Linked DNA regions of Stegostoma tigrinum. The protein of the gene in region 2 purifies or fractionates together with the protein of the main gene of each other region. This does not show direct contact. Links are inferred from orthologs where the notes say so. Each region holds a gene or a part of one and is shown on either strand. Other genes may lie near its edges.

Region 1 (7,963 bases), on a different chromosome or scaffold from region 2:
AAGGGGGCCAAGGTGAGACATTTGGCCTGTTGCCACTTGCACTGTGCAGCAGCAAGAAGAATCATGGAATCCATACAGCATGGATGAAGGCCACTCAGCCCATCAAGCTCACAGCAACCCTCCAAAGAGCATCCTACCACAACCCACCCTCCACCCTAACCCTGCATTTCCCATGGCTAATCCACTTCGGCTACGCACCCCTGGGCAGTACAGGGCAGTTTAGCATGGCAAATCCACTTAAACCAGCACATCTTTGGACTGTGGGGCAAAACTGGAGCACCCAAAGGAACCCAAACAGACACAGGGAGAACGTGCAAACTCCAGACAGACAGTCACCCACCCGAGGTTAAATGTATCAGGGCAAAATGTGGTCAACTCTTGGATATGTTTTCAAAATTCTGAACTTCTTTTATATTCTCCCCTCAGAAGTAGGCCATTCAGCCCCTCAAATCTGCTATGCCATTCAACAGAATTGTGGCTGATTCAACATGCCTCACTTCCATTTTCCTGTAACCCTGGATTGCCCAACTAATTAACAACCTATCTCAGCCTTAAATATGCACAAAGACTCTGCCCTCACAGCTCTCTGTGGCACTCCAAAGACACTCAACCCTCTCAGAGAAGAAATTCCTCCTCAGCTCAGTCTTAAGTCGACTATGCCTACTGGTCTGAGGCTCTCCAATGAGAGGAAACACCCTCTCAGCATTTACCCTGCCAAGCGCTGAAAAATTCATATTGATTTCAACGTGATCTTCTCTCATTTTTCTAAACTCCAGTGAGTAGAGTCCCAACCTGTTTGATCTTTGCTAATAAGACAATTCCTCTGTGCTGGGGGTCATCCCTGTGAACCTTCGCAAATTCCTCCAATGAAATGGTATCTCTTAAATAAGGGAACCAAAACTGCTCTCAGTACTCCAGTTGGGGTCTCATCAGCACCTTGTTCAGCTGCAAAAAAGACTTCCCTACTCTCATATCCCAATCCTTTTGAAATAAGGGCCAACATTCCATTTCCCTTCCTGATTACCCCGCTGCACCTGGTGCTAGCTTTGTGCATTGTGTGCACAAGTATTACAATTTCCTTGTCCACTTCATGTATAACTATCTTTTTGTAAAATGTCTGAGTGTCTCCTGAAACTTGCCTTTCCACCTATTTTTGTGTTATTATCTATTATTCTTGGGGCACTGAAGCCTCAGATGCACTTCAGCCGTGGAATAGTACTGGCACATTCTGAGTCAGAAGGTTGAGAATTCAAGTCCACTCCAGCAAGGTGTGCACAAATTGTTGATGGCACTTCAGCACAGCACTGAGGAAATGCTGGAATCCAGGGTCTGAGTGGTCCGATGAGCTGTTAAGCCAAAGCACTCTCTCAGGTGCGCACACAAAAGACCCTGTGACTCTTCTGAGAGGAGCAGGACAGTTCTCACGAATTTCCTGGCCAACATTTATCCCTCAGCCAATGTTGCTAAACCAGCCATTCTTAAGGGTGACACGGTGGTTAGCAGTGCTGCCTCACAGCACCAGGGACCCGGGTTCAATTCCAGCCTCGGGTAACCGTCTGTGTGGAGTTTGCACATTCTCCCAGTGTCTGCGTGGGTTTCCTCCGGGTGCTCCGGTTTCCTCCCACAGTCCAAAGATTTGCAGGCTAGATGGATTGGCTATGCTAAATGCCCATAGTGTTCAGGGATGTGCAGATTAGGTGGGTTATAGAGGGATGGATTTGGACGGGTGACCCGAGGGTCGGTGTGGACTTGTTGGGCCGAAGGGCCTGTTTCAACACTGTAGGGATTCTACGAACTTCTACGATTACCTGACCATGTTTATGAAATCTTGTTTGTACACTGGATGCAATAATTCCTATAGAGCAAGATGACATTGGGTGTACAATGATGCAGGGGACTGAAGTTGTGAAAGAGGCAATATAAGTAGAATTTATTTCTATTACTAGTCATTTTCCCACCCAATATCCTTTTGATGATTCCCCAAAATCCATGTGTACAAGTTCAACTGTAACTTGGAAAATTCAAAATCTTTATTATAAAGTCTTTGGCAACCTACTGCAGAACATGTCAGCTCTTCATTTTAGAGGTTACTGATAATTTCAGATGAGAGTTTCAAACCTGCACCTTCTGTTTCTCATGGATTGTAACTTCTCTCAGTGATCCCACCAATCCTGCGTCACCATCAGAGGACCACAGTTCTGAAGCAGGCTGCAGCTGCCGAAGCTGAAGATTTGTGGCATTAGGGTGGCGCCTGCAGTGGTCACGGCCGAACGGAACAAACTCCTGCATTTCCCCTGCTGCAATCATTGTTACCCTCTCTTCACAGACGTTCGACATGGGTTCCAGATATCAGCATTATTTCTGCTTGAAGAAAAGCAACGACTTAAGAAAAACTAAAATTCAAAGCAAGTGCTGTGCAGACAGCAATGTAACTCAAATAAAATAAATCAAAGAACTGAAGTCGCTGGAGATCTGAAACAAACACTAAGTGCAGGAGAAACTCAGCAAGTCTGGCAAGATCTGTGAGCAGAGAAACAGAACTAACATTGAGTCCATTGACACTTCTTCAGAACAAAATAACTCAACTCTTGATGCAGAAGAAGGGGAGCCAAAGGAGATAACGAGAAGTGAGAGATTTCAGGTTGTGGAGGAGATATGGGAGTGGAGCAGGAGATGGGGAGAGTGTGGGGCAAAGGGGGAGTCAGGTGAGGTGGGAGCAATGGAGGAAGAGACATTGGGTTGGGGTGGGGTGGGGTGGGATATTTGGCGTAGGGTGGGGCGTGGGAGGGTGTGGGGCGGGGGGGTACAACCGGGTGAAGGGGGTCACTGGGGTAAAGAAGGAAATCGGGGAATGATGAGAATATTTCAGGTCATTATTATTAATAAAAGACGACCGAACCGACCTGTTAAAATAACGAGTGAAACTTCTAATGACGGTTTCTCTGCGACCATCCGCCTCCAAAATCCGGGGATTTGGTTTTTGCTCCGAATCCGCGCCAAAAGCAAAATTCACTTAAACTCCGATTTGAAGAATCAGATGGGCGTCGCCATCTTGAACTCCCATCAGTCACTGCGCTGAATACGCGCCAGCGCATTCGAGCCTGGTGACAGAGCGCCATCTCCCGGGGGCCTGGCGAAATGTACCTGCTCCATCTCCAGTTTCTCTGAGAGGTTGGTACATCTGGCCTAAAGCAATCTTTAAAGCACAGTGATAATGGGAACTGCAGATGTGGAATCCACATCAAGCAGAGGTTCACCTGCACATCTGCCAATGTGGTATACTGCATCCACTGTACCCGGTGTGGCTTCTCTGCATTGGGGAAACCAAGCGGAGGCTTGGAGACCGCTTTGCAGAACACCTCCGCTCAGTTCGCAACAAACAACTGCACCTCCCAGTCGCAAACCATTTCCACTCCCCCTCCCATTCTTTAGATGACATGTCCATCATGGGCCTCCTGCACTGCCACAATGATGCCACCCGAAGGTTGCAGGAACAGCAACTCATATTCTGCCTGGGAACCCTGCAGCCTAATGGTATCAATGTGGACTTCACCAGTTTCAAAATCTCCCCTTCCCCTACTGCATCCCTCAACCAGCCCAGTTCGTCCCCTCCCCCCACTGCACCACACAACCAGCCCAGCTCTTCCCCCCCACCCACTGCATCCCAATACCAGTCCAACCTGTCTCTGCCTCCCTAACCGGTTCTTCCTCTCACCCATCCCTTCCTCCCACCCCAAGCCACACCCCCATCTACCTACTAACCTCATCCCACCTCCTTGACCTGTCCGTCTTCCCTGGACTGACCTATCCCCTCCCTACCTCCCCACCTATACTCTCTCCACCTATCTTCTTTACTCTCCATCTTTGGTCCGCCTCCCCCTCTCTCCCTATTTATTCCAGTTCCCTCTCCCCATCCCCCTCTCTGATGAAGGGTCTAGGCCCGAAACGTCAGCTTTTGTGCTCCTGAGATGCTGCTTGGCCTGCTGTGTTCAACCAGCCTCACATTTTCTTGTCTTTAAAGCACAGTCCTTTGTCTCCGCAGGACTTTTCCCTTCAATCTCTCTTTTGTGTCAAATGTATCACAGCTAGAAAGCCTAATATGCCCACACTTCATCCATTCTTCTGGAGTGAACTGTAGACTATTATCTGATTTTGTGATGTCTGATAGGCTAAATCTAAATCTAATAGGCTACAACAAGAATTAGTTTGATTTTTCATAGGATGCTGCATGGAGCAATTGAAATGATACCATGCCCAATCAAGAAAGTGTTGTCTTAGTCTAATAGTTGCCATAGTTTGAGCGAACTACACAGTAAATGGAAAAGCCCTGGGGAAAATTGATGAACAGAGAGATCTGGGTGTCCAGGGCCATTGTACCTTGAAGGTGGCGAAACAGGTGAATAGAGTGGTCAAGAAGGCAGACGGCATGCTTTCATTCATCGGACAGGGTATTGAGTACAAGAATTGACAGGTCATGTTACAGTTGTGTAGGACTTTGGTTTGACCACATTTGGAATATTGCGTACAGTTCTGGTCGCCACATTACCAAAAGGATGTGGATGCTTTGGAGACGGTGCAGAGGAGGTTCACCAGGATGTTGCCTGCTATGGAGGGCACTAGCTATGAAGAGAGGTTGAGTAGATTCGGATTATTTACATGCAAGACAGAGTTTGAGGGGGGACCTGAGTGAGGTCTACAAAATCAGGAGAGGTACATACAGGGTGGATAGCAAGAAGATTTTTCCCAGAGTGGGGGACTCAATTACTGGAGGGTCACGATTTCAAGGTGTGAGAGGAAAAGTTTAAGGGAGATATGTGTGGCAAGTTCTTTACGCAGAGGGTGTTGGGTGCCTGGAATACATTGCCAGCGGAGGTGGTAGAGGCGGGCATGATAGCTTCATTTAAGATGTATCTAGACAGATACATGAATGGGCAGGGAGCAGAGGGATACAGATCCTTGGAAAATAGGTAAGATAACAAGGTGTAGAGCTGGATGAACACAGCAGGCCAAGTAGCATCAGATCCTCCTGCTCCTCTGATGCTGCTTGGCCTGCTGTGTTCATCCAGCTCTGCACCTTGTTATCTCAGATTCTCCAGCATCTGCGATTCCTACTATCTTGGAAAATAGGTGACAGGTTTAGATAGAGGATGTGGATCGGTGCAGGTTTGGAGGGCCGAATGGCCTATTCCTGTGCTGTAATTTTCTTTGTTCTTTGTTCTAGCCATGAGAAGGGCTTAGCCATGTAACTCACATACATCAGTTCCAAACTTCAACTAAGGTCAAATCTTCTGCTAGAGCAATGGGCTCCCACTTGAATGAGTCAAACAGATCCCGCATTCTCCTTATACACTATTTCAGCTCTGTCAGTATTCTGGGCAAACTGAAGCTGCCGCAGACTCTGTGGGTCTAATTTATACTGAAGAAATTATGCATACGTAGTAGTTCCTTAGTGTTGCGAAGTTGGGTAGAGCACTTGTAGATTGGGAGGTAGGAAGTTAGAATTTGGTGTTTGTAAAATGCTGGAGGGGGCACAGGAAGCATTGTGTGGTCCCTTTAAAAGATTATGTGCTTTTGCTGCACTGAGAGATTTAAAATGGATACCTGTGAGCAGCGGCTTGAAAGTTTGCGCATACACAGAAAGCACCCGAATTGAAACATTTGTATCATAAGGCCGTACAGTTAGCAGGCCAGGCAGCACCTTTTACCAAGACAAGTTTTGAATTTAGCCAATCAATGTGAACCAGGCACTTAGATACCAAAAACCAATTCTATGCAAATCTGATGGTTTTGACAACGCAGAACGTCCGGACATGAGCCTGTTCTGAACCAAGGGAACTGACAATAAGAACCTCCACAGCCAGCTGTACTTCAAAACTGCATTTTCCTTCGTGGCAAACTTAAACTCCAGAGACCCCAAAGTTTCCAATCTAGCTAGCAGGGAGGGGAAGGCAGGTGGTGGCAGTGTGTGGGACTCCAAGGGTAGGAAGCCTGATTAAAATTTCTGTGATTAAAACTGCTGTTTAGGTTCTAACAATGTTTAGTCTGTGTTTAATTTGATAGTGTATTTAATTAGTGTCCTCTGTATACTTGGGAGTGTTAATTTCACTGTTCAGTGCTTTTACCTATATTTCTTGTAGCATAATTACCTTTTTTATATTTAAATAAACACAGAGATTCTTTTGACCTGAAACACCTGTCTAATGCCTCCTTCCTTCCACATTCCCTAAGTAAGACCAGTGTCAGAACCTAATGACCTGGGGGTGATTTGAACCACCTAAAATCAGCAACTTACTGAGTACAAACAAGAACCCTACTGAATCTATGTCTTATCTACGTTATAACCACTACCACTTCTTCTGTCTTTTATTGTACAATGCCTTATGATCTCCAAAGAGACAGAGCAGTGAGACACCCACCACAGAATCCCAAACCCCTGACCTGATCTTATGGCCACAGTATCTATAGGGTGAGTTCAGTTCAGTTTCTGGTCAGTGGTGGCTCCCGGGATATCGATGGTGATGGTAATGTCATTGAAGGTCAAAGGGGAGATGATTGGATTCTCTCTTATTGGGATTGGATATTGCCTGGTACTTGTCTGGGCCAAATGTTTCTTTCCACTCAACAGCCCAAGCCTGTCTACTGTCCAGGTCTTGCTGTATTTGAACATGGACTGCTGCAGTATCTGAGGAGTTGTGAATGGTGCTGAACATTGTGCACTCATCGGCAAACATCCCCACTTCTGACCTTACGAAGGAGGGAAGACCATTGGTGAAGCAGCTGTGGATGGTTGGGCCATGGACACTACCCTGAGGAACTCCTGCTGAGATGTCCTGGAGCTGAGATAACTGCCCTCCAACAACTACAGCTATCTTCTTATGTTCCAGGTATGACTCCAACCATCTGAGAGTTTTCCCCCTATTTCCATTGATTCCTGTTTTCCTAGGACTCTGATTCTTAGATGCCGTCCCCAGTTAAATGCAGCCTTAACATCAAGGGCAGTCACTCTCACCTCACCTCTGGAATTCGGCTCTTTGGTCCATGTTTGAACTCAGACTGAAAACAGGTCAGGAGCTGAGTGGTCATTGGTAACACAAACTGAGCATCACTAAGCAGGTTACTGCTAAGCAAGTGCTACTCGATAGCACTGTGGATGACACCCTCCATCATTTTGTTAATGATTGCAAGTCGACAGATGGAGCAGTAATTGCATGGGTTGGGTTTTGCTCTTTTATTTTGTATGCAGGACATAGCTGGGCAATATTCCACATTTCGAGGTAGATGCCAGTGTTGCAGCCGTACTGGAACAGCTTGGCTCAGAGACCGTCTAGTTCTGGTGTTACAGACTTCAGCAGTGTTGCTGTAATATTGTCAGCGCTCTTTTGATCATGTAGAGTTAAGCAAATTGGCTAAAGCCTGCAATTTGTGATGCTGGAGACCTCAAGGAGAGGCTGAAATGGATCATCTACTTGGCACTGCTGGCTGAAGCAGAATAACAAACATTTCAGCTTTTGCTTTCATGCTGATGTGTGAAGATCCCCCATCATTGAGGATGGAGATATTCGTGGAGCCTCCCCCTCCTGTTAATTGTAAAGGATGTGGCAGGACTGCAGAGCTTAGATCTGATCCATTGGTTGTGCAATTGTTTATCAGTGTCTAGCTTGACACCTCAGGCTTAGGTATGCCTGGTGCTGCTCCTGGCATGTTCTCCTGTGCTCTCATTGAAGCAGGTTTGGTCCCCTGGTTTGACAATGGGGGATATGCTGGACCATGGGGTTGCAGACTGTGCTGGAGTACCATTCTGGTGTTGTTGATGGCACACAATCGTGGATGGCCAGTCATGAGTTGCTAGATCTGTTTGAAATATGTTCCATTTAATACGGTGATAGTGCCACACAACATGATGGAGGTATTCTCAATGTGAAGGCAGGTCTTCACCTCTACAAGGACTGGGCAGTGGTCAATC
Region 2 (7,064 bases):
CTCCTTGTTTTGTACTAAAATTTGGAAAACTCTGGTTTGAATTTTTGTATTTTAAAAGTTTTTAGCAGCATCAATTTCCAACCTAGCAATGTGCTGCTGTGTACAGCAAAAAACAATTCAGTTGTTTAAGATTCTGCAAAAATTAAGTTTGTTTTTTCCATTTTATTCTTGGGATTTGGGTTTTACTGGTAATGTTAATGTTTTATATTGTCTGTACCTCCATTTCCTGAGAAAGTTGAAGCCCCTGTCGAAGTACTGAACTCTAAAGAAGCAGCTATATTACTGCTATGTTAGGAGTTCAAGAATGTTGATCCTTTGAGAAGGAAGGGACAGTCATATGCCCAAGTCTGGATGGGGTGAATCTTAGGAGCTTTTGGCTATCTCTCGTAGGGTGATGGCATATTTATGTAGTATTCTTTAAGAAAAAGTTTTCCAAATTGCTGCAGTGAAGGCGTGCACACTAGCCAAATGTCAGTAATGGGTGTATAGGTGAGTGCATGAAGCACTGATTAAACTGCGTCTTTTGGGGCAGTTTGCAGTTGTATTCATCTGAACAAATGGTCAGTGTACTTCATATTTTGACCAATGCCTCATTAATAGTACAACAATTTTGGGCAGCCACTTACTGCAGGATACCCAGCTTTTGATTCTAAGTAGCAGGGTAATTTTGTGGGTAACTGAACAAGATTTTTTGGCTTAATGCTGGAAACCCCTCTTCCATTTGGCATATTGCTGGAGGAGTCAGAGGTCTACAGCACAGAACAAGATCCTTTGGCCCATCAGGTCTGTGTGAGCCAAAACTTACCACCTAACTATTTTAATCTCACTTTTCCTGCATTTGGCTCTTATCGATACGGTATTGAGAAATTGTTTGATTTTGGGATGGTCATTCAAAGCATTTGCAAAGTGTGAATTGTGAGATGTTGCTTTCTTTTTGTAAGCAGTGAATATGTTTGGATTTACACAGCTGCCTGGGTGAAGTCACATTTCCTGTGGGTGCATTATAAATGTGTGATAAACAAGGTAGACAGCTGCCTTCACTGGCTTAGAAAGAAGTTAATTTCGATGGTAAAACGTATACTAAAAGGACACATGCATGAAAATGTTTTTTTTTGTTCAAGATTGAATATGATTTGCTCCTAAATGATTATTTTTTTTTCCCCCCTATTTGGATTAGCTATCAGCACCAACTGGGAACTGCAAGTGGATCTTTGTGGCAGACTTGTATTTGGAATAGTTACCTAAGCATGTGAGAAAAATTGAAAAATACAGGGAAGATGTCAGTTTTTGTAAAGAAGAAAAATTAACAATCTGCTCCAGGCTTTTTGAGTGTATTTGTTAGGTTGTAGATAGTCAGATACAATAAAGTTTTTCTGACTGTACCCTCTGTACAACTATAATAAGCTCTCAAACTGAAACTGCACTAAACTTTCTAAATGCTGCTGCTTGTAGCTACTGCCAGGAGATCTGCTGTCATGTCATACCTGTTTGTCTTATGCCATCCTCACATGTTTGCTGTAGCTCATCTCTGTCCACTCTGATGCCCACATCAAATTCCACCTATGTTGACCCTTTATTGCTCTCAAGGAGGGATCTCTGATATTTGGCTCTGATGAAATGGCTAAAATAATGACTTTTTCTTGATAATTAATGGAGTCTATTTTGTGCTCGTAATATTAAGTTGCAATTGTCATGTGGAATTTTTCTAAATCGGAAGTACTAATTTAAATTCAAAAGTTAGTCCTAAAATGACTTGCAAGAACGGATGTGTGGTCAGAATGCTTCAAAGAATTCAAACAATAAGAATTTATTCATGATCCAAGTAGACAAGGTTTTCTGGCTGTTCCGCAAAGGTTGGAAGTTATTGAAAAGTGTAGACGTTCATTGAAATATCAACTTTTGCTAAATAACAATTAGTTCAAACAGGTGAAAATTTGTGTATGGTGTGATAGTTTTCTTTTTATAAAAAATGCAGTTTAACTTCGTGGAAAGAGAAGAACACATGTCTTTCTAGAGATAGACTCCAGGAACCAAACCTAATCTAACTTGCATGTTAGGTTGACAGCTGACAGCTGTGTGCATTTAATGATGTTTTACATCTTGTTAAAATGCGTCCATGTCTTTTGAGTTACAAAGGAAAATACCTGTTCAAAAGAAAGCAATAATAATTACACAACATTTTATTCTTTTTGCAGTCATTAAATTATAGATTTGAAATTGCTAAGATATTTTACTTCTAAGAATGTTTGCAGTTTCAAGCAGACGGCAAAACCTGCAGAAGCTTCTCATTGCATTTGGTTGTTTAGCATCTGGGTGGAGTGTTCACTTTGGCAGAAAAATACAAGTCAACCGTGTCCTGCACATATTAGAAAATTGTAGGCAAGGACTGTAAACGTGGATGCTGAAGGCTTTAAAAAAAACAATGGACTGAAGTTTCTCAGATTTTAGCTTTTTTTTAAGAATGTGACTCATGTTACTCCAGCCTGTAATAAAGGACGATGACTTTTCTCATGCATTTTTTTTGTATTATGTAAGTGGTTTCTTCAGTGGCCATCTTGTGGTGGAAGAAGTGAAAGTGTTCATTTACTACCCAGACTTCAGATGTTGTATATCGTGACACTGTGGTCCTGTACTGTAATCCCAGAGGAAGTGGTCCAGATTGAAAAGTTTGCTTTTCCTTAGTTCACTGTCGAGGATCTGGAGGTGAAGTGGTGGAAAGGGAGGCAGTTTTTGTTTTTGGCTCTAAAAGACCCTACATCACCAGAGTCAGCCAGCCTGAACAGAAGTAGCAGTCAGCACTTGCTGCAATAGCCCAAGTGAAACAATGCACAGCATTGCAGAACAAACGTTAATGATCTGTGCTCCATAAGAGTAATTGCTACCATCTTCTGTTTGCCATCTTATGCTCACAAGGCTACCATTTGCTATAATTCTGCCACTGCACACATCTCGCCAAATTTCAGGGACTACGGTGTTCATTATTGCATGGCCAATCAAGGGCTCTGTCAGTATCTACTATTCCAGCTGTCCATGTTTCCCATATATTCACTGGGGACACCCCACTATCTCTTTTGCTCCTACACTGCCACTAATTTCTCTTTCATTCACTATCATCATACTCAGTCTCCCCTTTTGTTTAATCGTAGGAGACATTGATTTACAGGAATTAAAGGATTGATGTACTAGTTGTTCATGACCTGCAGGACTAACCTAACACTGCACTAGATTTAGACATGTCCCTTGACCTACTGCAGCAGTATCACCTGAGTGACCAGGGAGAAGCATTTAAGTCGTGTGTCTGACCTCCTGACTGAAGTTTTGAAGGTCAGAAGTTGATCTAAGAGCATACAAGCATCATAGTATGCAGAGTTTGGTGGCTTGCTGATGCCTGACTGGCTTGGATGAAGGGAAGAGAATGGCACCCATTGGAGTATTTAGGAACATTATGGTGAAAGCAGAGTTTGATTAAGGCTCAGAGAAAAGCAAGCTGTGACTTACTGTTGCTAGATCATTTTTCTGACTTTCACATCAGGATTTGGTGCTGCCTAGTTCCTTGGGGAAAGATAGCAAAATGGGAAGCTGTGGAATTGAGATGAAATAGACCATGAATGTGATGCAAGTGATGGAAATAGGTCAGTCACTAGCTACTAGTGAAATTTGTAACTTGCAATTTGAACCTTAAGCAGGAAATCAAAAGTATTGTTCTTGACATCGAGATTCTGAATTTAAAAATGTTTTGCCCTATATTCCCACATTTCCTGCCCATGCTGCATGGGTGGGGGGAGAGGGGAGAACTGGAAAAATTCTAATGCTTCTAAGAAATAGACTGAAGTATCAAAAAAAGTATTAGAAGGAAACAAACAGTTAAAAAAAAACCCTGTTGGTGAATGAAGATGAAACCCTTAAGTGTACCAGAAATTATGCAAAAAACTGGAGGATCTGCAGAAAGAGGGTAACAGGTACTGAGAGCATTGCACATGCGCAATCTCATCCCTCAGCCCGCAGCTAAGACGCGTGAATATTGTATTGGTAAGAAAACCAATTATTTCACTATTAGTAAAATATCGTAAATGACTTCAGTGGGGCAAAAAAAGACAAGATCCCAAGAGGGCAAATAGCGTCACCCTTTAGTTAACATCTATTTCGGTATATTCCTGCCAAATTAATTCATTGCCTCTCAGTTGCATTCTGTTTTTACCGCGGGTGTCAGTTTTTAACTAAATATCATGTATATTTACGTGAGGGAGTCAGGAAATCGATGGGAACTCCGCACACATTCGCTTCAGAAGCGCCGCGCAGTGTGTGCGGTAGCAATTTGCGAATTTGATACCTTTTTCATTGCAACTTTCTAGTTAACTGTATCTCTGCCTAGAATTAAAGGCGTACATTAGGGAAAGACAAGCGGGGGCTCAGAGGCGGTGGATCCACCTCTAGTATCTCAATTCAGGGTGTTCATATGTATCTAAGTGTATCCCACTGAATTTTGCTGTGGCTTCTGTTCTCTGGCTCGCTGTCAGCTCCGCCATTTTGGTAAGAAATAAAACCTAGTGTTTGGATTTATTAGTCAATAAAAATGAATGGACGTGACATTCCCCGCTCAGGTAAATCTGAATATCATGATCTATTCTGTTAATTGATTTATCATGATCACATTCACAGGAATGGCAAGATTGAAGCCATTTAAACTGCAGTGATTTAATGACCTGTTTAGTCTTTGCTTTAACTAGAATTATTTTCAGCCGCCTTTTCGGATCATTTCAGGCAGGGTGTGAAATATACTTATTCAAAAATAGTAATAATTAGCCTTCAATTTCAGAAATCCGGTGAAGAAATATTTGATTTGTCCAGCAATATTTATTTATCGTACGCTGGAAATAAAGTGCACGTTGATAATGACAAGCAATATATTTTAAACTTAATTCATGCCCCGTGCATTATTTATACAACGAAAGGGAAAAGAGATTTAGTGCACGTCGAACATCATCTCATTCGATAGAGCAATGTAATGTGGCTTCACACCGACATATACCAGATTAAGCAAATAAGGTTAACTAAATTTCTTGAATTATTGTAATACTTTTTAAAATTGCTGTATTTTAACAGAACACATTTATAAGCCTCAATTGCAATTCTGAAATTTCCCTTGTGGCCAACTAAATCTCGTAATAATTGATTATAAACTAATCGGCAAAGTGGAAAACAAAGATTTGTTTACTTCACAGAAATGGACATGATAGCTAGACAAAACTGTGATAAAATAATGAAATAGGGCAGTGTTATTGATAAGCATTTACTTTTTAGGCAAATAGTTATACCATTTTGTTGGATAGAAAAAGAGGGAGAAATAAAACATGACTTGTCAACAATGGAAATCTGACTTTTTTTGAAAAACTGGAAATCGTCAACAGTTCAGTCAGTATCTGTGGAGGTAAAAACAGCATTACTATTTGGGTTGACCGTCTTTTATTGCAACTGGAAGATGTTGGAAATATTTTAAATTAGCTGATGATTTAATGCTTGTGGTGTAATTAAGAGCGTAATATCACCCAACTTTGTCCCTGCATCAACTGCTTTGCTACTAAAATCCTCATTCATGTCTTTGTTACCTCTAGACTTGAGTGTTTCAATGCAGTACTGGCTGATATCCCACATTCTACCCTTTGTAAACTTGATGTTATTACAAACTTTTTGTCTTGCAAAAGCCTCCAATTCCTTATGAATCGCATTGGTTCCTGATCAAGCAAGGCTTAATTCTTTATTTTCAAATTCTTACATGACCTCCTGTCTCCCTAGTTCCTTAATTTCCACCAGGCCAACAAAATTCTGAGGTATCTGTGCTCTTCTAATTCTGGCCATATAATTCTGAGTTTTAATACAGTTTCAATTACTGTACCTTAGGAGGTTGTGCATTCACTTGTGAGGCTGCAAGCTGCAGAATACTCTCCCTACTTCATAGAATCCCTACAGTGTGGAAACAGGCCCTTCGGTCCAACAAGTCCATATCGAACCTCGGAGCATCCCACCCAGACCCATCCCCTTTAACTCACCTAATCGACACCTCCCTAAACACTATGGGCAATTTTAGCATCGCCAATCCACCTCACTTGCACACCTTTAGACTGTGCAACGAAACCGGAGCACCCAGAGGAAACCCATGCAAACACAGGGACAATGTGCAAGCCCCACATAGACAGTCACCCGAGCCTGGAATTGAACCCAGGTCCCTGGTGCTGTGAGGCAGCAGTGCTCGTGCTACCTCATCTCTCTACCCTGCTCTTGTTAACTCCTTAAAATGACTCCTTTTGTCCTCACTATTGGTCATCTGATCCTACGTGACTTGGCACTATAATCCTGTGGAATACCTTGGGACTTTTTGTTATCAATTCTCTATAATGTAATTTGCTGGTTGTTGGGGAAATGATGTTGCAGGTGACCAAGAAAGGAGGCAAAGGGAGAGTGAGTAGAGTGATTAAATGGCAAAATTGATGGAAATGACAAGGTAAAACAAACTGAGAGTGAGACTGTTGAACAGACAAAAGATCAGTGTTAATGGGTAAAGGGTAAGAGAGGAGGAGGGATACATGGTAAATCTGGCATAAGAAGGAGTTTATGGCCCAGGTGGAAAGAAAAGGCAGAGATAAATGTCAGGAGTGAATCCTGCTTGAAATGCATCTGTACATCCTTCCAATACAAATACTAGTCCGCAGTTCCTCCAGTGGCGGTGGTGCTGAGGCAGGCATCCTCCATTATCACACCTGCTGTCTCAGACAAACTTGAAGCAGTTGTTAAAATTGTTAAACTCATTGTGAGATAGTCAGAAGGCTGCTTTTTATACAGTAAAAAGATGAGGTGCTGTTCCTCAAATTTATATTGTGTATTGTTGGTGAAAAGAAACATAAAGAGACACACATATAAATCTTTTCATTTATATGGTTCTTTTCATGACCTCATGGTATCCCAATGCACTTTAAGCCAGTTAAGCAATCCTCAGTCGCAAAGTATGAAGCATAATGGCTAATCTGTATACAGCAAGCTTCCAAAAATAACAGTATAATAGTGAGCGG

The links. The genes of interacting proteins can lie anywhere in the genome.
Region 1: the proteins of l3mbtl1 (region 2) and anapc1 purify together in Homo sapiens (affinity purification with mass spectrometry; 4 studies listed by BioGRID and IntAct, counting the BioPlex papers as one, with this or other methods). This does not show direct contact. The link is inferred for Stegostoma tigrinum from reciprocal best matches to the Homo sapiens genes L3MBTL1 and ANAPC1.

Annotation. Positions count from the first base shown.
Region 1 is NC_081357.1:20,344,073-20,352,035, reverse strand, and holds the start of anapc1 (anaphase-promoting complex subunit 1), read right to left. Parts: upstream 3,058-7,963; 5' UTR 2,904-3,057; intron 2,362-2,903; 5' UTR 2,338-2,361; coding exon 2,119-2,337; intron 1-2,118. UniProt on the Homo sapiens protein: Component of the anaphase promoting complex/cyclosome (APC/C), a cell cycle-regulated E3 ubiquitin ligase that controls progression through mitosis and the G1 phase of the cell cycle.
Region 2 is NC_081372.1:22,904,551-22,911,614, forward strand, and holds the start of l3mbtl1 (lethal(3)malignant brain tumor-like protein 1), read left to right. Parts: upstream 1-3,956; 5' UTR 3,957-4,029; intron 4,030-4,284; exon of another isoform or gene 4,285-4,530; intron 4,531-4,537; exon of another isoform or gene 4,538-4,601; intron 4,602-7,064. UniProt on the Homo sapiens protein: Polycomb group (PcG) protein that specifically recognizes and binds mono- and dimethyllysine residues on target proteins, thereby acting as a 'reader' of a network of post-translational modifications.